Linked DNA regions of Diceros bicornis minor. The protein of the gene in region 3 purifies or fractionates together with the protein of the main gene of each other region. This does not show direct contact. Links are inferred from orthologs where the notes say so. Each region holds a gene or a part of one and is shown on either strand. Other genes may lie near its edges.

What was found.
Region 1: the proteins of SIKE1 (region 3) and STRIP1 purify together in Homo sapiens (affinity purification with mass spectrometry; 3 studies listed by BioGRID and IntAct, with this or other methods). This does not show direct contact. The link is inferred for Diceros bicornis minor from reciprocal best matches to the Homo sapiens genes SIKE1 and STRIP1.
Region 2: the proteins of SIKE1 (region 3) and STRIP2 purify together in Homo sapiens (affinity purification with mass spectrometry; 3 studies listed by BioGRID and IntAct, with this or other methods). This does not show direct contact. The link is inferred for Diceros bicornis minor from reciprocal best matches to the Homo sapiens genes SIKE1 and STRIP2.

What each region holds. Positions count from the first base shown.
Region 1 is NC_080743.1:43,080,126-43,087,598, forward strand, and holds the start of STRIP1 (striatin-interacting protein 1), read left to right. Parts: upstream 1-4,409; coding exon 4,410-4,589; intron 4,590-7,083; coding exon 7,084-7,153; intron 7,154-7,473. UniProt on the Homo sapiens protein: Plays a role in the regulation of cell morphology and cytoskeletal organization. Required in the cortical actin filament dynamics and cell shape. Part of the striatin-interacting phosphatase and kinase (STRIPAK) complexes.
Region 2 is NC_080742.1:78,071,320-78,078,721, forward strand, and holds the start of STRIP2 (striatin-interacting protein 2), read left to right. Parts: upstream 1-4,360; coding exon 4,361-4,489; intron 4,490-7,402. UniProt on the Homo sapiens protein: Plays a role in the regulation of cell morphology and cytoskeletal organization. Required in the control of cell shape. Calmodulin-binding scaffolding protein which is the center of the striatin-interacting phosphatase and kinase (STRIPAK) complexes.
Region 3 is NC_080743.1:47,414,647-47,422,646, forward strand, and holds the start of SIKE1 (suppressor of IKBKE 1), read right to left. Parts: upstream 3,022-8,000; 5' UTR 2,979-3,021; coding exon 2,820-2,978; intron 2,587-2,819; coding exon 2,481-2,586; intron 1,593-2,480; coding exon 1,450-1,592; intron 1-1,449.

The DNA.
Region 1 (7,473 bases), about 4.3 Mb from region 3:
TGGGGAAGACTAGAGTGGCAATGGTCATGAATAGGGAGCTCCAGAATATGTTTTGGTGAGAGAGTCACTGGTGAACTAGATGTGAGGGGTGAAGAAGAGAGGAATCAAGGATGTGTCCTAGGTTTTGCCTTGAGAAAAATGGGTAGTCGGTAATACCATTTATTTAGATCCTAAGGAAAAGCAGGAGAAGAGCAGATTTTGGCGCAAGAAAGGGAGAATACAGAGTTCTGTCTGTAGCATATTAAGTTTGAAACGCCCATTAGACTTCCACGTGAGATGTCAAATCAGCCACTGGATGTATATTTGGGTCCTCTTTTGACTAATCCAATCTATATGTAAGAAGGCTAGGAGGTTATAAAGTAATCCGACCTGGGACAGAGTTAAGCTGACTGATTCCTTTGGAAGATAGGATTAATGATATTTGCCCTATTAACCACCTACCTAAAATATTATTAATCTTTTCCTCTTCTCATAGTCATTAATGGAGAGAACTCCACATGGCACTACAACTAGAGGGGAAGATCTGCCCATAGATGCTCCAGGAGTCATAACTTTAATATTGAGCATTTCAGTGACTAGCAATATCTTGACCAGGGCTAAGATGGAAAATGCCAGAAACAGGCTCACTTTGTCTGCCAGCACGCACTCAGGTATGGATGGATGTGAAACATCTTGCCCAGTACCTGACATCCTATAAGAACACAGTATGTGCCAATTTCCTTCAACAGAGCCCGCTGGAACAACCACCCTGTTCTCGGTGGAGCCCTTGCAATGCTACAATGTCTCAAATATAACATTTCACTTCCAGTCTCTTGAACCATGACTGCTCATGGTGAAGGAAGGGCCTTCTCACCTTAGGCTTCACCTCTTGGTAATAATAATTCTCTTTTTTGAAAAAACAATGCTTTACAGTTTTCAAAATGATTTCACATAAATTAGCTCATTTGATCCATAGCCTCATAAGACAGGTGGGATTATCCTCATTTTACAGATGAGGAAAGAAGGAAAAGAACTGCATGAAGGCGTTTCTGCAACTTCTACCCTCTATGGGGCTGTGCTTTTCTGCAAGTTTCTTAGCAAATGGAGAAGAGTGAGTTCTCCAGCTGTGCTTCAGCTCCTTCACATTTGGAATCCTTTTTCCTACCAGAAGCCAAATGGAGTATAGTTCAAGGAGTTTTTGCCAGAGTAAAGGGAGGACTCTTTGGGACTCAAAAGTGATGCCAATTTAAGTAGCTCTCCTGGGCCGGCCCAGTGGCATAGCTGTTAAGTGCGCGTGCTCCACTGCTGGCGGCCTGGGTTCAGATCCCGGGCATGCACTGACGCACTGCTTGTCAGGCCATGCTGTGGCGGCGTCCCACATAAAGTGGAGGAATATGGGCACGGATGTCAGCTCAGGGCCAGTCTTCCTCAGCAAAAAGAGTAGGATTGGCAGATGTTAGCTCAGGGCTGATCTTCCTCACAAAAAAATAAATAAATAAAATAAGTAGCTCTCCTATTTAGAATTCTTGAGCTAGTCACAGCTTGGAGACACTGCATTTCATTCAGGAAAGGTTTCCACACAGGCTCAGACAGTTTTTATAAAAAGGGCTTGTTACCTCTCAATATTAAGTTTGAACAAGCCAGAACAACTGGAAGCAACCCACATGTCTGTTAACAGGTGACTGGATAAACAATGGGATGCTATTTATGAACTATTAATATCATGTAACAAGATGGATGAATTTCAAAATAACTGCGTTGAGTGAAAGAATTCAGACAAAAAAGAATACATATTGTATGATTCTGTTTATGTAAAATTGGAGAATATGCAAACTAATCTAAGTGTCAGAAAGCTTATCAGTGGTTAACTAGAAATGAGAGAGGGGCACAGTAATGAGTAGAAGGGAGGATTACCAAGGGGCACAGGCAACTTTTGGGGGTGATGGATATGTTCATTATTTTGATTGTGGTCATGATTTTATGGTGTTTACATATGTCAAAATACATCAAATTGTATACTTTGAACATGTGCAGTTTATTGAGTATAAATTATACCTTAATAAAAATAGCACATTGATTATAAAAATTCCAAGAACACAGAAAAGTATAAAGAAGGAAATGAAAATAACCTATGTTTCCAACATCCAGAAATAAAACCTACTAAGTTTCTGGTATATTTCCTTCCAGTCTCTTTTCTACACATAGACATAGACACACACACACACACACACACACACACAGAACCAATTGTACATTCAATTATATCATAAGCATTTTGCCATGTCACTAAAAATTCTTAATATTAAACACAAATATTAATGGCTTCTCTATATTCAATCTTATGCATACCCCATTATTTAGTTAGCCATTTTCTTATTGGCTATTTCTCAGATTAGGTTGGTCGCAACTTTACACTATTGAAAATACCACTGCCTGGAACATCATCATACATATATCTTTGTCTAAATCTTTGATTATTTTCTTAGGATTTATTACTACAAGTGGAATTGCTGAACCCAAACCTTTCTTGTTCTGAATGTAGCTGAAGCAGTGTACAGTGTTTAAAGGTCTAAATTTTTTTTTCCCAGATGATAGAGCTTATGGTAGGTCAGTCTTAGAACTTGTCCAAACTGTGGTCACTAAAACTAAACATCATTTGTGTGTTGGGTCGTGTGGGATTTGCTGATTTTATCTAAGAAGCCTCTCAGCACTGGTCCTTTTCCTGCAAATTCCTTAGTTTTTCCTATCAGCTTGGCCCAGCCTAGTTTGGATGAAATGCTAATTTACAAAGTGTATGACTAGATTTGAGAAGGAATAGAGGCAAAGAACAGGAAGCTAGGTAGGAGGAAGTAGCAACATGGTGGTTTTGGATTTATTCATTATTTTACAAAAAAAGACTTTTAAAGCACCTACTAGGTGGGACCTTGGTAGAAATCATGCAAAAGTTGCACCACAGCGACTTTCCTAGAATTGAGCTGGGAGTGTGGAGCAGCCAAGATGTAGTTCTGGAGAGACAAAGATAATAAAATGCCTTTAAGGATCTCACAGCACAGTAACGCGTAATTATTACACATCACCTCTAAGATGTCTAACGGGCATCTCAAATATGACATGTCCCAAACAGAAATCTTGATCTTCTCCCTCAACCTGTTTTTTTTCTCCCAGACTTCTTTATTTTAATAAGTAATACAACCACCCACCCACTTGCTCAAGCCAAAAATCTAGGACTCATCCTTTATTCCTCTCCATCCTGCTGATAGGATTCCAGCCTTTCAGCAAATCCTGTTGAATCTATTTACACAATATAAAAATATCATATCAACCCAAAACTCCACCCTGATGCAAGGCACTATTATTTCCATCTATATAGTCTCCTAACCCGATTACCCTCACCTACTCTTGCAACTCTCCAATCCCTTCTCCAAAAGCAGCCAGATTGGTCTTTTAAACATCAGACCATGACACCCTCCTGGTTAACATCCTCTCATTGTTTCCCATTTCACTTAGAATAAAATCCAAACTCCTTTCCATGACTTTTAAGGCCCTGCATTTATCTGGCTCATGCATTACCTGGCCCTCATCTCCTACTATTCTTCCCCTGGCTCACTCAGTTCTTAGCACACTAACCCAGAGCCTCTGCAGTTATCTGGTCCCTCTGCCCGTGTTGCCTCTGTGGATCTCTGCACCGCTCTCACTTCTTTCAGAACTCATTCAAAATCGCACTCTCAGGCCTGCCTTCCTGGGGCAGCCTAATATAGCCATCCCCCGCCCCCACCAGCGCTGCCACCTTCTAATCCCTTACACTTCTTTTTGTTTCTTCTCAGCACCTGTTTGTCTAACATTATATTTGCGTGCTCACTGTTTGTCTCTCCCACCAGGCAGTATGTTATGCACCATGAGGGCAGGAACTTGATTTATTCTCCCTTCTATCGCACTACCTGGAGCTAGAAGACATTCACTAAATGTTTTTTGAATGAACGATGAATAAATATTTGTCACAACTGTAATTGTTTTATTGATTTATTCATTTGCTTAGCATACCTCTCCAAGTAGATGTCAACTCGTGAAGACTGGGATGGTGTCCATTTTGTTCACTACTGTATCCCCTAAGCTTTCAACAGGGCTGTAACAGCGACAAGTGCAAAACGATGTTAAAGAAAGGAAAGGGAGACTAAACTGATTGAAGGAGCTAAGGGAGGCCGCACAAATAAAACAACTAAGCCGGTACTGAAAAAGCAGTGGAAACGAACTGGCCCGAGAAGAATAACGTTTCACGCAGAATCTCACGAGGTGTTGGGCAGTCAATATGGCTTCCGGCACTTGCCGCCACACTTAATATGGCGACCAGGGAGCGTTCCTGGAGGAAATCACGCGAGAGTTGTATCGCGGCTACTGTCCGCGAATTAAGCCGGGGGTGTGGAGCAGCCAAGATGGAGCCGGCAGCCGGCGGACCCGGCTCGCTGATCTTGAACAATAAGCAGCCCCAGCCGCCGCCACCTCCGCCGCCAGCAACCGCGCAGCCTCCACCCGGGGCACCGCGGGCCGCCGGGGGTCTGCTGCCTGGGGGCAAAGCCCGAGAGTTCAACCGCAACCAGCGCAAAGACTCGGAGGTCAGGAGCTTCGGGGGGGCGAGGCTAGCGGCGGGCGGCGGCGGCGGGTGGCCCGGGTCCGGGGCCGCTCTCTGATCCGAGGTGGGCTTCTCAGAGGGTTCGGTAGGGCCCGGCAGGGGACTTGTTATTTTACAGCGAGAGGAGCAGGAAGCACGGCTGGCATCCCCGGGGCCGGGGGCGCGAGGCCGGGGTCCCCGCCCCGAGCTCCGCCGCCCGGGAGAACCTCCGGAGCCGGTGACTGCTCCTCTGGGGCTGGGGCTGTGGGCGCGGCCTCGGGGCCCCAGCCCCTGGGGAAGCCGCCCCGCTCCCAGTTCGGGGGTGAAGAGTCAGTGGTCTGCGTGCGCTGCAGGGGGCCGGGCGGCTGCACCCCGACTTCTAATCGCCTCTGGTCCTGTGGGTTCCGCAGCGCGGGGGACGGCGTGTGTGGGCAGGGAAGGGCCTGGCCACGCTTTGGCAGGCACTGCGAAGCCGGACGGAGCTCATTATCACTAATAGTACTACGCGCCCGGAGACTGCTAGGGTAGGAGGGAGGGAACCTTCCCTGTTCACTCAGACCTTAGCCACGGCGGGTTCGGGCCATGGTTTGACAGTGCCTGGTGGTTGGTGTGCCCAGCGCGCCCGATGCTGAACTCCGATCAGAAATATACATTTTAAACGTACATTAGAACTCAGCATTCCCTCCTCTCTTGCTAGTGGGCTGTTCCTCCCGGTCCGGAGACACCATAGTTTGGAGCTGACTAGTCACCTCACCCCGAGTTAAAGAATTACTCCCACTGCCTCCCATTGTAGAATTCATGAATGAAGACACACGTCGCAGCGTTTTAGGGCTTCTTAATCAGCACGTTCCTAAAGCGCTTACTGTGAGGCTCCTTCACCTGAGACAACTCAGAGGTTGATCAGCAGTCAGGCGCTGAAGAATGAGAGGGAATTCCTCGTTGTCCAGGCATAACGTTATGTCCAGGTCATACTAAAGCGTGATAGTACTCTCTTTAGACTTGTGAAATCAGTTCCTCTCAAGCTTTTGTTTTTTGTTGGCAAGTGCAAACCTCTGGTAAAACGTGTCAAAATTTGGCAAGTCCAAAGTAGACATACTTTGAGCTTGAAGTGAATTATTTGAAAAAGCAGTGAAACTGACCTTGTAGGAGCCCGTGCCTGGTGGGGTGATGGGACATCAATGGAGACTACTTAATAATTTTTCAAGTGTAGAGGATTATGAAAGTGGTGGGGGTGAACCCACCTTCATTATGAGAGGAGTTATAGTTTAAAAATAGTTTTAAATTTTCCTAAGTAGCCATGAATGGTCAAATAAACACCCTTTGATACATTTAAATTTCTCTTTCTATCCTTTAATTTCCATATAGACTGAAAATGTAGAAGGTCGGTCAGTAAACACATTTAAGCTGAGACACCTGTCTAAATTCGTTTTCTTAGAGATGCTGATGTTGCCCTGGGCTCTTTCTGGAGTCATAGCTGAAATCAGTAGGCTGGGAGCCTGAGCAATGCCTGGAGGACAGGGAGACTGACACTTGATGAGAGCCCACTGTGCGCTACATAATTTTGAGTAGTCCTTAAAAACCTTCAAGATGGATTTTTGTCATCCCTGTTCCATAAATGAAGAAATAAGTTCAGTAACCTGTGAAAGTATACATTCTGTTGCCTCTGAATAAGGAGTTGAATTCTTCATGTCATTCAGTGTTTGTGGGCATGTTAGGGCATTTTGTGGGTGGTCTTTGTCTTCCCAAGTAGATTGTGATTAAACCTGAGGACTTCTTCACTTCTTCTCTCTTCACAGAACAAGCCTTCCAAGATGGCATATTCTCAGTGATCACCTATCCCCAGCAGTAAAAAGATTCTTTTTGTCATATTCTCTCCTGTGTCTGGGAGGGGAGCCATTCTGTTTGGCTGCTGCCTACTCTGTCTGTCACTTCTCCCTGAAGTTTGAGAAAAAGGCAGGAAGGCTGAGAGTGTCGATGCTCATTTTTGTCTTGAGCTTTTGGTAGCCCACTAGCAAGAAAGAAATGAGGCTTCCGGAATCTTAGCACCATGTAGAATGGTCATTCACTATACAAAATGCATGGAAGCTTTGTGTTCATTCATCCAACAAGTATTTTTTTGAGTATAAACTATTCATTCACTCATTCATGCCAAGTAGTGTGCTGGGCATCGTGAAATCATTGATGAGAAAAATGGACAAAGTTCCCACTCTCAAGGAACTTGCAGTCTCTTGGAGAGGCAGACACTAAACAAGTATACATGCCAGTATATAATTATAAGTTATGATAAGTGCTCTAAAGGAAAAGTGCAAGGTGCTCCGAGAGGGCTTAATAGGGAGACCTGAGTTCGCCCATGAGACAAAATACTGCGAAAAAATATCAGAAGAGTGGAGGTGATGGTGTCGTGTAACACAGCAGTGTATCTGGAAGCATATGTGTTTCCTCCTTTGGAAAACACTCACAATGACTTTTTGTGTCACTCTCTCTCTTTTTTTCAACAGGGCTATTCTGAGTCACCAGACCTCGAGTTTGAATATGCTGACACTGATAAGTGGGCTGCAGAGCTCTCAGGTAAAGCATAGACCTTCATATTATTTGGCTGGGTTTTGTTTTTTCTATTTGTTTTTTTGTTTGTTTGTTTTTGGTGAGGAAGATTAGCCCTGAGCTAACATCTGTGCCTGTCTTCCTCTATTTTCTTTGTGGGCTGCTGCCGCAGCATGGCTTGATGAGTGGTGTAGGTCTGCACCAGGATCCAAGCCTGCGAACCCGGGCCACCCAACTGGAGCGTGCCAAACTTAACCACTACGCCACCGGGCTGGCCCCTATTTGGGGATGTTTTTTTCCTTATTGGTCTTTAATAAGATTGAGTGAATGTCATTTTGGATTTAATT
Region 2 (7,402 bases), on a different chromosome or scaffold from region 3:
AGAAAATAGGCAACACCAGCAAATTGTATGTGGACAAATTCTAAACTATATATATACATACACACACACACACACACACACACACACACACATATATATATATATAATCATCTAGTTCTTGCTGTCATCTTACTGAAAGGAAATAAAACCTCTAAGGATCACCATTTCTGAGAGGCTCTTGGAAATCTTTATGTCTAAGTGATTGATTAGATCAGCAATAATGACTATGTAATCTCAAAAGATAAATAAAATATTCTTCGAGTGGATTCTTGTCTTGAGATTATTCCTTGCTTCTGTTAACTAGGAATTCAGAGATGAGAGAGGTTTCTGGGCAAGAGGCCGAAGAGCCTGCTTCAGGGCAAGGATGTAAAAAGCGGAAGTAGTTACTGAAAGGCACGTTTGAGTGGCCTTAGCCTTGAATTCGTTATTCTGTGGTGGTCCACTCTACCGATAAACATTTCCCCTGACCCGCCGGTTATGTGTGTAAAGAATCTGCTTTCTCAGAACCACTGCCCTGGGGAGTTGAGAAGTATAGCCTTTTTTTTTTTTTTTTGTAAGGAAGATCAGCCCTGAGCTAACATCCATGCTAATCCTCCTCATTTTTTTTTTTTGCTGAGGAAGACCAGCTCTGAGCTAACATCTATTGCCAATCCTCCTCCTTCTTTTTCCCCCCAAAGCCCCAGTAGATAGTTGTATGTCATAGGTGCATATCCTTCTAGTTGCTGTATGTGGGACGCGGCCTCAGCCTGGCCGGACAAGCGGTGCGTCGGTGCACGCCCGGGATCCGAACCCAGGCCGTCAGTAGCGGAGCGCGCGCACTTAACCACTAAGCCATGGGGCCAGCCAGAGAAGTATAGGCTTAAGGAAGAGAAACTAAAGCCGGGTTTTAGGTCCCCCAAGCCCTCTGTGTGCTGCCCTTAGCTGGAGAGCACAGGAAGCCATGTTTTGGGATCAAAAGACCTGATACCCAGGACCTGACTACATCCAACCAAAGAGAAGACAGAAATGAATCTGGCAGAGATTTGTCAGGTTTTGCCTGACTAAATCAGTAACCAGAGAATGAGTTCAACTGCCTGTTCCTTCTCAACTACCAGTAGAGTAGCCATTTTTGAGTAGCCTTCTGATAGCCATCTTCTTTAGTTGACAACCTAAACTAGTTCTACATCTGTATGCAAGATGCAACAAAGAAGTCAGACAATTCCTTGTCTCAGTCTAGGGCCCTACAGCCTCCATTGCCTCATTATACCCACATGTGCCCTTGCTGTGGTGAGGAGGGTGTTCTATGCTATTTCTACTACATTATCCTGGTTGCCCAATATCCTCAAAAACTAGGTGTTTTAAGAATTCCTGCACCTTATTTTTAAGCTTTCTCCTTACTGGTTACTATCTATTTAATCAAGTATCTGACTGTGGTTTAAGTGGAGTGCTTACAGGTGGAAAAGTGTATGTTTGGTCCTTGTAACTATAACTATACCTCAAATTCTCTACCAGCAGCCTCAGAATACCTGAGTTTTGAGACAGGGGCAAGTGGTAGTGTAGGTAGTGTAGGCTCTGCACTGGAGCCATCTCTGCAAAATGGAAAAACTTGTAGACCAGCCCCTGACTAATTAGCTCCCAGGTATATTTATAGGTGCCTCTGTGGTCAATAGTATTGATGACTGTCACATCTTTGTTGACAAATAAGCTCAAAGAATTTGAGTGTGGGCCAATTCCAGGGCCTATAGTTTCAAAGTTTTCAGTTAATCTCTGGTTTCTTGTTACATCTTCCAGGAGTTGTTTCCAGGTATCTTCTTCCTTTTGACAAACTCTGAAAGCCTGGGCCTATACTGAGCAGATAGATGTCGATGTTTACTATCACCCATTCCACTGGGACTGAGGTCTTTCCTCGTGTTGATTCTTTGCAATCTCCATAGCACCAATTTTTCATACCCCTTCTCTGAAAGTGAAGCCAGATGGAGCTCTAGGCTCAGCAATTGGCTTTACATAGAGGCCAGTGGGGCCTTGAGAGCTGTCCTCAAGCCTACTTCCCAATTGAAGATCACTCTGCTCCCTTTGCCCTTGGGATAGGCTGGAACAGGAACAAAACTGGCCACTCCTGTCTGCCACCACTATTGGGGATCCTGCTGATTGACTAGGCTCACAAAAGAAAATACGAATTTCTGACCCAGTCAGTTCTAGAGCTCTGACTGCTTAGGAAGAGAGGTATTGGGAAGAAGGGAGGTAAAATAATTAATTCTTTTATTAAGAAACCCCAATGGGCTGTGCTGTGGCAGGTTTATCACACTGAAGCAGTGATGAGCTAGGCGTGGGTTGTGAATTTTAAAGCAGAGTATGAATCTTTAAGAGTTTAACAAATTATACCCTGAAAAAAGTTCCAAAATCAAATAATGTAGTCCTTGAGCCAAGGACTTTCTTGGAAATTCATATCAATTCAATTCTGTTAAACTAGTGGGTTTCAACTGCAGATTTTTGCCCCCCAGGGGACATTTTGCAATATCTGGAGACACTTTTGGTTGTGACAGCTAGGGGGAGAGTACTACTGGCATCTGGTGAGGAGAGGCCAGGGATTCTGCTAAACGTCCTATAATGCAAGGGACAGCCCTCCACAACAAATAATTTTTCAGTCCATAGTACAGAGACCCTGTTTTAAATATGCACATATGAGGGTGTACAAAAATGAACAAAACTTGGCCCTGCTCTCAAGGAGCTTATTTCCAGGTTGTGGGGTGTGTGTGGGAATGAGAGAGGAAAGGGAAAACGGTGGTGGGTACAGTAAGGAGATGTTGGGGACCAGGGAGAGAAAGGAACTCAGAAAGCTCCAAGAAGTGCTTGCACCCTCTCTCTCTCTCAACTGTCTTGATCTGTCACCTACTGACTAGCAGAGAAAAGTGTGAGGGTGAGATATGGTTAAGAAAGGGACAGAGTTGTCCCTAAGATATAGGAAGGGGCAGTATTTCCTTTGGGCCTCCTACTTTGGGGATATAGTAGAAAATATAAGGATTTTGCATCCAGGCAGAACTGGCATGACACCAACACACCTTGTGGTTGTGGGTTGGGTTGTGGTTGTGGGAGTGGGTTGAGGAGAGTCAAAAGGATGTCTTTCTGGAGGAGGAGGTGATGACTAAATAGAACCTTTAAGGAAGAATAGAGGTTAGCCAAGAGAAGAATGGAAAGTTTCCTCCGGAGAGAACTGCCTATGCAAAGACACTGAGAAAAATAGAAGATGATACCTTGGGAACTGCAAGGAATAATTAATCTCCGTGCGTCCTGGTTTCCTCAACAGTAGTATTGGATTAGTGAAAACAACCTGTCAGAGAGAGGCATGATATGACATCTGGAAAGTGCCTAGTGCAATGCCTGGAACAAAGTAGCAGTTCAACATTATTCCCCCAATCCCACCCATTTGGTCCCACTCACTCCCCTCAGGCTGCTTGTTTGGGGCTTCTGTTACCAACCCAGACTGCCTAAATATTTACTGTAAGTTGCTTTTTAGATAAATTTCTGAACGGGCAGACCACACAGCCTCGTTTGCCCCAGTTAACGCTGAGCCGTTAGGAAGGATCTTAGAGGAAGGAAGGAATGGACTGGGGAGCGGGTGGAGGTGGGGACTTGCTCTCCATTCAACATTTACTGTAGCTCACAGCATGAGGAAGGTGCCCCCCTACAGCAGAGAAAGGCAGATGACCAGGAGCAGCCCTGAAGGGCACCAGCAGTCTCAGTGAAATGAAAACGCCCCACCCCACCCCTCTACCCAGTCTCCCAGCCGAGCCCTCACTCCAGGAGGGATGAATTCTCGTCAGAAATCTCAGCTTTCAGAGACGGCGAGTCCTTCGTTTCTTGCGGTGTCCCCGGCCCCCGGCAGTGCCATCCCTCCCCTGCGACTGAAGCGGCATTTGGGAGGTATGCAGGAGCGGGGATAGAGGTCTGTGGTAGTGGGAAAACGGAGACTGCAGCGGAGCAGGAGGCGGAGATAGAGCTCCCCGAAAAGGTCGCTATTTGGGAGGGGGTGAGTGCTGAGGGACACTGAGTGAGAAGCAAATCAATAATCCGCCTGAGCTCAAGACCCAGAATTCGGGAGGTGGAGCCGGTAGCCAACCCAGGAGGCTACTGCTACCGGCAACGCCGCAGTACTTGGGGGGGAAAAAAAGGAGAAAAAAAAAATCCCTTGAATGAGCCCCCACCTCTTCCTAGTCCCGCTCCGAGAGGTCGAACAGCCAATCGCGCCGCGAGGCGGGGCTGCGGGGAGCGGTCGCAGCCAATAGCTGCGGAGGCGGCGGAGTCTGGCCGCCGGCGCGCGGCGAAGGGGTCGCCCCGGGCAGAGAGCGTAGAGCCGCTGAGGGGAGCCGCGGCTCCGAGCTGCATGGAGGACCTCGCGGCGCCCGGGGCCGGGAGCCCGCCCGCCAGTGGCAACGGCAACGGCAATGGCAAAGGGAAGCCGGCGGCCCCTAAGGGTCGGGAAGCGTTCAGAAGTCAGCGGCGGGAGTCGGAGGTGAGGAGCCCGGAGAGCTTCAGTTGGCGCCGGGAGACGCCCGCGGGCGGGCAGCGGTGGCTGAGGTGGTTCGGCCCCGTCCCCCGCCCGGAGCCCCCGGCGCTCCTCGGGCCACTCCTCGGAACTGGCGCCTGCGGGGTCAGCCGCAGCCTGGACCCGGGGCTCTGCAGCCGCTGACCCCTCTCCGGCCGTCTCCTGCCGCGGGTCGGGGCTTTCTAGCCCTCTGGCCTCCCCTCTAGGGGCGCGAAGATGTAGCGCGAGATCGAGCGTACCAGATACTTTTCAGATATTTGTCTCCCTTAATCGTTGCAGCCCCTTGGAGTGGGGACTCGTATCACCGATTTCCGAGGAGGAAGCAGGCGCGGAGAGGTTAAGGGGCTGGCCTGAGGGGTGGGAGGCCGGGGCTCCGCCGCAGTAAAGACGGCCCGGCGCGGGGGCAGCGCCCTCCCGCCCCGAGGAGTCCAGCGGAGCCGATCCAGATGTGCCGCGTGACTTCTGCCCTGCTCCTGTCCCTGTGTGTTGGCAGGTCCTTTAGGGAGCGCCTTCCGCGGACATCGGGACCCCCGCCTGTAAGGGTTCATGAGACAGGATTCAGGCGGGGGCCGTACAGGAGTGAGTGGATGGAACTGTTCCAGCATACAAACCCACGGATAGGAGTATGAATGTTTGGGTCGCTTCCTCTTCTTCTGAAAAGAAATCCTAACGAGGAAGACGAAAGGAGTGAATTATCGTCACTCCCCCACTCCCTCATCCAGCCACTTTCCATCAACTAGCCAAGAGTAGATGTGGATCTGAGTGGGGATCAGAATAGACGACAAAGTGTCAGGTGTGGAAGGGTCTGTAGGGATCATCTGGTTTTAGCCCTTTCTTTGATGGAAGTAAAAGAGACAGAAGTAACTTGTTCAAAATCATACATCTGGCGTAGTGGCCAGGAGTACAAAGCTTTGGGGTCACTCAGACCAGGTTTTGAATCCCAGCCCTATCGTTTACGCTCTCTGGGACTTTTGGCAAATTGCCAAACCTCTCTTTTCCCCGGTTTTTTCATCCTTAAAATGAGGTTAATGCTATCTACCTCAGAAGGTTGTGATAAGGTCAAAATGCGATAATTGAATGTAAAATGTTAAATTCAGTGCAGGCACAGTGCATGTAATTGGTCAATACATGGTAGCTCTTAGTATTGTATTATCATCATCATCAAGGGGCAGAGCTGGTACTAGAAGCCAGGTCTTAGGTGTCCCAGTCCACAGTTTACCATTTGAATAGTATGTCACAGTTTCCCAAGGGGTTTCATGTATGCTTTCCATTTTGGTACAAACGAGTAGGAATCCATCCCATTTTTTAAAAGAGAGAAGAGGAGGAGGTAAAAAGACTGGCCCAAAGTGACATCACTTTTCAGAGGCAGAGCTCAGCCCTCTTGTCATGCTAGATCGGGGTTCTATTCACCACATCATCTCCCTCCCTACCTCAGTATGAATCTGGCCTTTTAGGGCACCCTGTGCCTTCTTCCCCCATAGAGACATTGTTCTTGCTCAAATGGTTTTTTTTTTGGGGGGGATGACTCATTCATTAATTCAACAATTATCAAGTCCTTTCTATATGCCCAGCACTGTTTTAGGTGCTAGGGATGTAGCAGTGAACAAGGCAAGGTCTTTGCCCTGTGGAGCTAACATTCTAGTTAGGGTGGAGAGACAGGGTATATGCAAGTAAATAAAATAATTTCAGAATGAAATGTTCTTTGGGGGAATTAAAACTCCAGAAATAGGATGCCTTTTCCTTACCTATCGTCTTCCTTCAGGAAAAGGCTGTGGTTGTACTTTACTTTTGCCAGTGAGTTCAGTATCCAGAGACTCATAGCTTTCCACCTGCACTGCAGTTTACCTCCTGATTGTCTGCAGCTGCATTTCATGCTTGGAAATGAAGAACTGCAGTGATGCTCTCCATCTGGGCCCATGGCCTGCCAAAAGGCTGGCTGGAAAGATTAGCTTTCCTCCACCCTACTGCAGCAGGAGAGCTGCGTTTACCTGTCAGCACATCCCCTATCACCACAACACCCAGGTGCCAGACTCAGATGACTGTGTGCTATTCCTTCCATCCCTCCCTTTTGCTTTCCTATGGAAGATAGTCCTCAGGGGTGATGGTTTTCTTTCCTCTCTGGGGCTTCTAAAGAATTACTGGAAGAGAATTACTGTTGGCACAAGTCAAGAGAGCCTCCTCGTACATCACTTGTTTATAGGGGCACTGTTGACCTACCCTCTCCCAATGGTTTAGTGTATGAACATCCTAGCCTAAAAAGGAAGCTAGAGAATAATTGTTTGCTTAATAAAAAGATTCTTTTTTTTTAAATAATTTTATTTATTTATTTTTTTCCCCCAAAGCCCTAGTAGATAGCTGTATGTCATAGCTGCACATCCTTGTAGTTGCTGCATGTGGGACGCGGCCCCAGCATGGCTGGAGAAGCGGTGCGTCGGTGCGCGCCCGGGATCCGAACCCGGACCACCAGCAGCAGAGCACACCTAACCGCTAAGCCACAGGGCCGGCCCCAATAAAAAGATTCTTAACCTAACCAAAGGATTCACCTCAGGCCTCTTTCAGCCAGATCCCCTGGTTTAATTGGTTCTCAAAGTCCTTGACAAAGTTTTAACTGGTTTGTGGCAAAATGAGGAAAATTCAGGGCTTTGAAGTGAGTTTTTCATAAAATGTAGTTCAATACATTAAATTTAAAGGATGTATGCAATTTAAAACAGTTTTTTTCAAACTGTGGAGGGTAACCTGTGAGTTGAGACCAACTTTTTTTTTAAGAAATGGAATAGAAAATATCAGTACATTGCATATAGTAATGGTAAATATTACTTTATTAAACTTTTGTTGCAGTTTTGTGTGTATGTTAGGACATGATGTAAAATTTATTTTTAC
Region 3 (8,000 bases):
TCAGTTCCAGGCGTGGACCTACACCACTTGTCTGTCAGTGGCCATGCTGTGGTGGCAGCTCACATACAAAGAGGAAGATTGGCAGCGGATGTTAGCTCAGAGTGAATCTTCCTCAGGAAAAAAAAAAAAAAGATCAATTCTAGTCTAACCAACCACTGCATGTTGGACAATATCTCTAAGTGGCTGTTTAACTTAAATTTGAATACTTTTATTGGCAGGAAGCTTACCACATTCCAAGGTTTCTTATTCTATCTTTGGACATATCTCTTAGCATGTTTTTCATATGAGCTAAACTGTCTCCTTCAAGGTTCAAGTGTTCTCCTCCAGACTACAGAAAATAAACTTTATTTTTCTCTTCCAGATGAATGCCATTCACATATTTAAAATATCCCTGTTCCCTAAGACTTTGGTTAAGTCAGTAAAATTTTTTCAATGGAATCTAAGATAAAACTTATCTTTCATAAATTCCACTGCAGCAAAGAGTGACACGCCAATCTATTAATCCAGGATTAAATTACAGAGTATATGTGAATGTACAATGACAACTATGAAGCACTCTACAAACATAAGGAAAATTACTGGGTCTCCCAAATTAAATCATAAGCAACTGAAGTGTAGAAACTATGCCATATCTATTTTTTTAAAACCATACTTCTGTCTCCTGACAACACAGTATAATGCTATGTAATTCAGTTTAATAAAGGTTTACTGACTGCCTGCTATGTGCTAGGTACTATGTTAGGGATAAAAGATGAATTCATGCTCCTTACAATCAAAGAGCTTACAGTTTAGTGAAATGTACTATAATAACCAAGTATTTACTGAGCACCTTCAACACTAACTGGCATTATGTTTGGTGGAAGAACTAAGCATTCATTAACATGTTGAAGAAAGATCTTGGTGAGGGAGGGAGGAATCTCAGTCTCACTCAAATAAAAGGACCTGAACAACCCTTTACCCTCTTCTTTCTATTCATATCTTTACAAAGCTATAGCAAAATCAACAGCGAATGTGATAGACATGAAAGGAAAACAAGCTTACTTTTCTTAAAAAAACAAGGACACCGGGGCCGGTCCCCGTGGCTTAGCGGTTAAGTGCATGCGCTCCGCTACTGGTGGCCTGGGTTCGGATCCCGGGCGCGTACCGACACACCGCTTGTCCAGCCATGCTGAGGCAGCGTCCCACATACAGCAACTGGCAGGATGGGCAACTATGACATACAACTATCTACTGGGGCTTTGGGGGGAAAAAAGGAGGAGGATTGGCAATAGATGTTAGCTCAGAGCCAGTATTCCTCAGCAAAAAGAGGAGGATTGGCATGGATGTTAGCTCAGGGCTGATCTTCCTCAAAAAAACAAAACAAAACAAAACAAAAACAAGCACACAATCCAAAACAATTTCAAGATTTTAATTCAGTTCACTTAGAATTTATTCATCAAAGTTTCTTACTGCAGAGTGAGACTGGTGAGCTTTCAGGACTGGTTCAGCATCCACTGCTTTTTTAGCAACCATTAATTGTAACATCTGTTTCCGGTACTTGCTCATGATGAGTTCCAAAGCATCCTGATGTTCCTCCAAGGAAACCCATAGCTCTATCAAAAAATAAAATAACTTGGCAGTGATGTCTGAGAGATAACTCCCAAAGCCAAACTCTTAACAGTTGGAATTTTATGACACTCTATGAGATATTGTGAATTCAAAGTTGTAAATCTGCGTTTAGGTCCAAAAAACTCAACAGTTAAGGTCTACGTGAAAAATAACTTTCTGGCTAGTGGCAGCATAGTCTGGCAGAAACAAAATGAGATGTGGAATCAGAAGACATGGGTTTGAGTTCAGTTCTGTGAGTTACTAGCTTAATACTCAAGCAAACCATTTAACCTCTCTGAGCCTATTTTTTATCTATATTGTAATAATAAATACCTGGCTTGCCTACCTCAAAATGAAGATATGAGAATACAATGGGATGATACATGTGAAAGCCCTCTGTAAACTGATATACAAATAACTATTCATAGCCCTATCATAAATAATGTACTCATTCAAGCTTAAGACTACATACCCTGAAGATAAAATTCAGCTCTTCCACTTACACAAGAACCTAAAAAAACCTTCAGTCTTTAGTGTTTATTTCAATTAATATTTAAACATTAAGTTTTAAGCCCTTGAGGATATTAACGCTTTCGTTATGCAAGCCTCCACCTGGGGATGCCTAAATAAGCCACGCAGTAATTCAGCTCTACTAAGCATCTCTTTGATAAGCTGCCTATAAAAACAAAATCAGTCAGATGACATTGAAAAGGGTAATGTAACAAACTTCATTGTTTTGGGCCAGCGCAGTAACTTTTCCTATTAAAAGTACTGACCCGGAAATACATACAGCACGTGCACTTTTGTGAACAGTATGACACTTTTGTAAGAACCTTTGAAATATTACTGGATATGAGAAAATCATAGTAACTACAAAAAAAGTCCTGACTAACCTCTGTTTTCCTGCTGCAAGTCTCTAATCTGTGTATTCTCTTGGGAGAGCAGAATGTGAGGTTTGTATTTGGACAAGTCCTTTATATCGGATGCATCCTCTTGATACTGGACAAACAGAGACAGACTAAGTGCGCCGTCAACAGAACAGCCACAGATGCAAATGAAGAGGCAGGAGTCAGAGCTCCAGGGCAGCATTCTCAGCCCCGATCCCGCAGAAAGGTCTCACCGATGCCCTCTGAGACCAGGAATAAATTCCAGGCCGAGTTTCCATTTTACCTCGCCCTCCATCCCTCAAGTGCCCAGTACCTGAGGGCACGGACCCCTACCCTCTGCCTGACCTGGTCCGGAAGCGCTGTCCCCGCCTCCCGCATAGCGGCTACCCGCCGGTGCAGCGCCGCCGATTGATCCACCAGCGACTCGGCAGCTGCATCATGCTCCCGCAGTCTCTCCAGAAGCGTCTTAGCGTCTGTCAGGATCTTCTCAATGGTGCAGCTCATAGCTGCCACCCGACCCCAGCCCCACCTCTGCTCGCCTACCAGAATCGCTCAGATCCTCCCGCAACGTGTCTCAGCATTATAGACGTCACTTCCAGGTACGCTTAAAAGGCGCCTCGGCAGCTGCGATATGCGCCTGCGCAGTGGCAGCCTAGTCCGGGAGTGACCTGCTTTGACCGGCGGCTTTCTTGCGGCCTCGCCTTGCGGAGTGTCGGAGGCCTGGCCTTGCAATGCCCTTGGTTTCATGTTCCCGCAGCCTGGTGGTCAAGTTCAGTTATGGCTGGGCGGGCTGAGTTTCTCCTTTCCCTACTGGTTTTGATTGATGTAGATTGTTATTCAGTCGTCGTTCTTTTCTTTTTCGTTTAGTTTTTAAAAAATTGTGGTAAAATGCACATAAAATTTACCATCTTAACCATTTTTAAATGTACAGTTCAGTAATATTAAGTGCATTCGCACTCTTGTGCAACCATTACTATCTAACTTCAGAACTCTTCATCTTGCAAAACTGAAACTCTGTACCCGTTAAATACTAATTCCCTATTCTGCCTTCCTCCTAGCCCCTGGCAACCACTATTCTACTTTCTGGCTCTATGGATTTGACTGCTTTAGGTACCTTATGTAGCTGGAATCATATAAATCAGATATGTCGTTTTTGTGACTGGCTTATTTCACTTGGCATAATGTCATTAAGGGTCATTTATGCACATCAGCATTTCCTTTTTAAGACTGAATAATATTCCATCTTATGTATATCACATTTTGTTTATCCATTCATCCATCTATGGACACTTGGGTTGCTTCCACATTTTGACTATTGTGAATAATGCTGCTATGAAGAGAGGTGTACAAATATCTCTTTGAGTCCTTGCTTCCAATTCTTTTTGTTTATACCCAACAGTAGAATTGCTGAGTCATATAGTAATTCTATTTTTAAATATTTTTGAATGACCATACTGTTTTCCACAGTAGCTGCATTTTACATTTTCACCAACAGTGCATAAGGGTTCCAATTTCTCCATGTCCTTGTTGACACTTGCTATTTTCTGTTTTTTGGTTTCTGGGTTTTTTTGCAGGGAAGAAATTCATCCTGAGCTAACATCTGTTGCCAATCTTCTTCTTTTTTTCCCCTCCCCAAATCCCCACTGCATGGTTGTATATCCTAGTTCTAAGTCCTTCTAGTTCTCCTATGTGAGCTGCTGCCACAGCAGGGCAACTGACAGATGGGTGGTGTGGTTCTGTGACTGAGAAACAAACCTGGGTGGCTGAAGCAGTGAGAGCTCCACAATTTTGACCACTAGGCCATCAGGGCTAGCTCTATTTTCTGTTTTTTTGATAGCCATCTTAATGATTGTGAGATGGAGTCATTGCTATTTTCTGCTTGCTTTTTTTTTCCATTTTAATTCAATTAAGAAATTGGAAATAAATTTAACCAGAACAGTGATGACTTTTGTGCTATTTGTTATATGGGTTTATGATTTTACCTTGTCAAGCATGTATGTCAAACATTGTTCTTCTTCATTCATTACTATAATGAATATTTTGGGGGAACCTTCTTTGTTTCAGGCACTGTTTAGTGTCTGGGAATACACCAGAGAATGATACAAAGTCTCTGCTCTTAGGGAGTTTATATTCTAATGGGAGAAAGAGTTCATACTCTTACAAATGATTGAAAGTAATGACAGGATTAGGAGCCTGGTGAGAGGGGCAAGAGTGTCAGAGCAGTAGTGTGAGGTCAGAGAAGTGAGGGGAGAGAACTGAGCTTTTTGCCTTTGTATTCCCAGCAGCTGGCACAATGGAGACATTCAATAATTGTTTGTCAAGAGGGGGATAGGGAACAAATTCAACAAAAATAACAAATCAAGACAACTGACCAACAGGAAAAAAATTAATGCAGAGCCACAGAGGTAAAGAGGTTTCGTTCATTCACTAAAACAAAGCAAAACACTCTTCCTAAGTGATCTCTTTCACTTATTTGCCTTTGACTTCCATTGAGAGATGATGGTTCTCAAATCCGTCTGATCTCATTATCTTTGCTTCTAAACCTGCTCCTCCTCCTGTTTCAGTAAAGAGCACATTCATATACCTCTTTGCCCAAAAAAGAATCCTGGAAGTCATCTTCTATCCTTCCTACTTAGTGTTTACAATTAATCAGTTACCAAAGCAATCTATCTCCTTTATAGCTTTAGGACTTATTTCCTTCTTTGTATTCTCACTGCTATTGGGTATATTGGGCCGTCGTCCTTTCTCACCCAGACAAAGCAACAGTCTTCCAACTGGTCTTCTCCCTACCTCAAGTCGTCTCCTCGTCTACTAACTCTCCCCAAGGATACCACAACCCCTTGCTGCCTTTTCGGTGGCAGGTAATTATTATTCTCTGCCCACCCACGTTAGGGCTGAGAACTAGCCGGCTCATTCTAATTCCCTAATGACACTGCCAAGCAATTACTCTTACTTGCTTGTGTAAAACCTCCGTTTATTTGAAGCTTGTCTCATCCAGCTGGAGAATCTTCTGTCTCTCCTTATTGCTGTCAATTACTGACCTACTACCTTGGGTATTCTCCTTTTTTCATAGAAGATTTGAGGAGCTGGCTTACAATCTTTTTTATTACTTAACATTTTGCTCTCATCTTGGGTGACATTCATGTCCGTGTGGACAATTCATCTAATGTTCTATCCTTCCTTGTCCTCTTCCATTCTAGAGACATTCAATTTATTTGACCATCCATGGCCACACCCTTGATCATTCACTAAAAATTGTTTCTCATCAAAAATTTTAAGCTTTAATATCTAACTCTTTGACTGCAAACTTGGTTTCAATCTATCCAGTTCTTGCAACCCTTTCTGCCACTACTGTCTCTTTGACCTCATCCAGCTCTTTGATTTCTGAATATATCTATATTCTCCCCACCTATCAGACTTTTCTTGTGGTCTAATATTCTTTCCCTGACCAGACTGAGCTCTTGTGATTGGCAATCTGAGCCATCGTCTCTCTGGCACCTCTAATTCTTTAGCACTTTTCTTTTTAGACCAAATGCAAGCAGTAAACTCCAACCCTCGACCAATCTTAGGATTCCAGTAGTGATTAAAAGGGGATACAGAAATAAGGGAGAGTTTTTGTTTCTGCTTTTATTTTGTTTTTATGGACAAATCTTGAGCATGTTTATAGGCTTTATAGGGGAAGGATCCATTAGAGAAAGAGATATAAGAAAGTAGGGGGACATTTAAAGGAGGAAGAACCAGAAGGAGAAGGGACATAGTAGCTACTTAATAAATTTTTGCTGAATATTGATTGGGATGATGGACATAGGGTTAAGAATATAGGTGAAGTTGCTGGACTTGAATAGAAAAGAGACATTTCATTCTCCTTATTTGGAAAGAAAAATAAAAAGGGTAGGTACAACTATGGGTTATAGATGGGGAAACATGAAGATAAAGGAGTTCTAACCTTCAAGCCGTCCCAATACTTCTGTATCCCACCCATCAATAAACCAATAAGATAAGCTCAGGTACCTGTAGTGTTGTTCATGGAAATTAAACAAATTTCCCAAGACCTCTTTTGCTTGTTCTGACTTATTTCCATTTTGATCTAATTTCTATCGGCTCCTGTTTCTTGGCTCCATATCCTCCTTATTATTTCACTCTTACTCTTTGGGTCAGGAAGTGATTTTGGGTTTCCCTACCTTTATTCTCAGCTCTCAGACTGCCCTATCAGCAATTCCACTTTTGTCTCTCTCAGGGTATATACCTTATCCCAGTGATCCTCTGATGATCCAAATGCCAACTCTGACCCACAGGATAATGTTCCTGCCACAGTTACATGAATTCTAGTGGGGAGGGACTTGGAAATTTTACTGGAAATACCTCTTGTAGTACCATGCCCATTGCCATAGCCATACCACACAGATAGGATAACAGGCTTACTCCTGTCCCTGAACCTGTGAAACTCTGCCCAGAGATGTGGATGTACAGGACTCTGGGAGCAGATGGTGGTCCCAATGGTCCACACCAGAGGCAAGGGCAGAGATAACTTGACTTTACCTGGACCCTAGCACCCCCACAGCTCCTTTGAGTCATTGTCCACATATCCATACTGTACCTTGTTGATGCCACCCCTTTGATACTTCTGGAAAAATTTTGCAATAATTCAAAATGCAAATCTTTAGGGACACGTAGAATCTATGGTTAGGAAGTATAGATGTAAAGCATTCCATATTCCGTATTGTTTATTAAATACCCTATTTTGCTCCTTTGTGCTTCTCCACATCGTAAGCTTTGAGCTCTCAGACCAATTTTTTTTCCTGTTGCTGCTAACTAATGGCTTTCTAGGCCTTGGCCTTGAAAAACCACAGACCCTCATAATTACGGGTGAAAGAAATCTCAACAAGATAAGAAGAAATGTTTAGTCTTCTCCTAGAAAGCCAGAAAAGCAGATACTAGTTTGTATCATAAAACTTTCCTTATAAATGTAAATTCTAATTAAGAGACACCCTGACTTAGGAGATTGTTGTTGTGGCCTGTGAAAGTAACCTTTAACATCTAAAAAGTCTGTAATTCTGATTGATTGTCTTACTTAATAATTTGTTGCTCTGGTAATAATATTTAATGTGACATCCCTATTTTCTAAAAGGTAAAATATACTTTGTAGTGGGTTGAATTGTGTCTCCCCAAAAGATATGTCCAACTTAACTGCCAGTACCTGTGAATGTAACCTTACTTGGAAAAAGGATCTTTGCATTTGTAATTATGAAAAGGATCTTCAGATGAGATCATCCTGGATTAGGGTGAACCCTAAATCCAATGACAGGTGTCCTTAAGTGACAGAAAAGGAGAAGACACACAGAGACACACAGGGGAGAACGTCATGTGAAGCCGGAAGCAGAGATTCAGGTAATATGTCTATAAGCCAAGAAACACCAAAGATTGCCTACAACCATGAGAAGCTAGGAGAGAGGCATGGAACAAATTCCTTCAGAGCCTCCAAAGGATGTCAACCTTGCTGACGCCTTGATTTCAGACTTCTGGCCT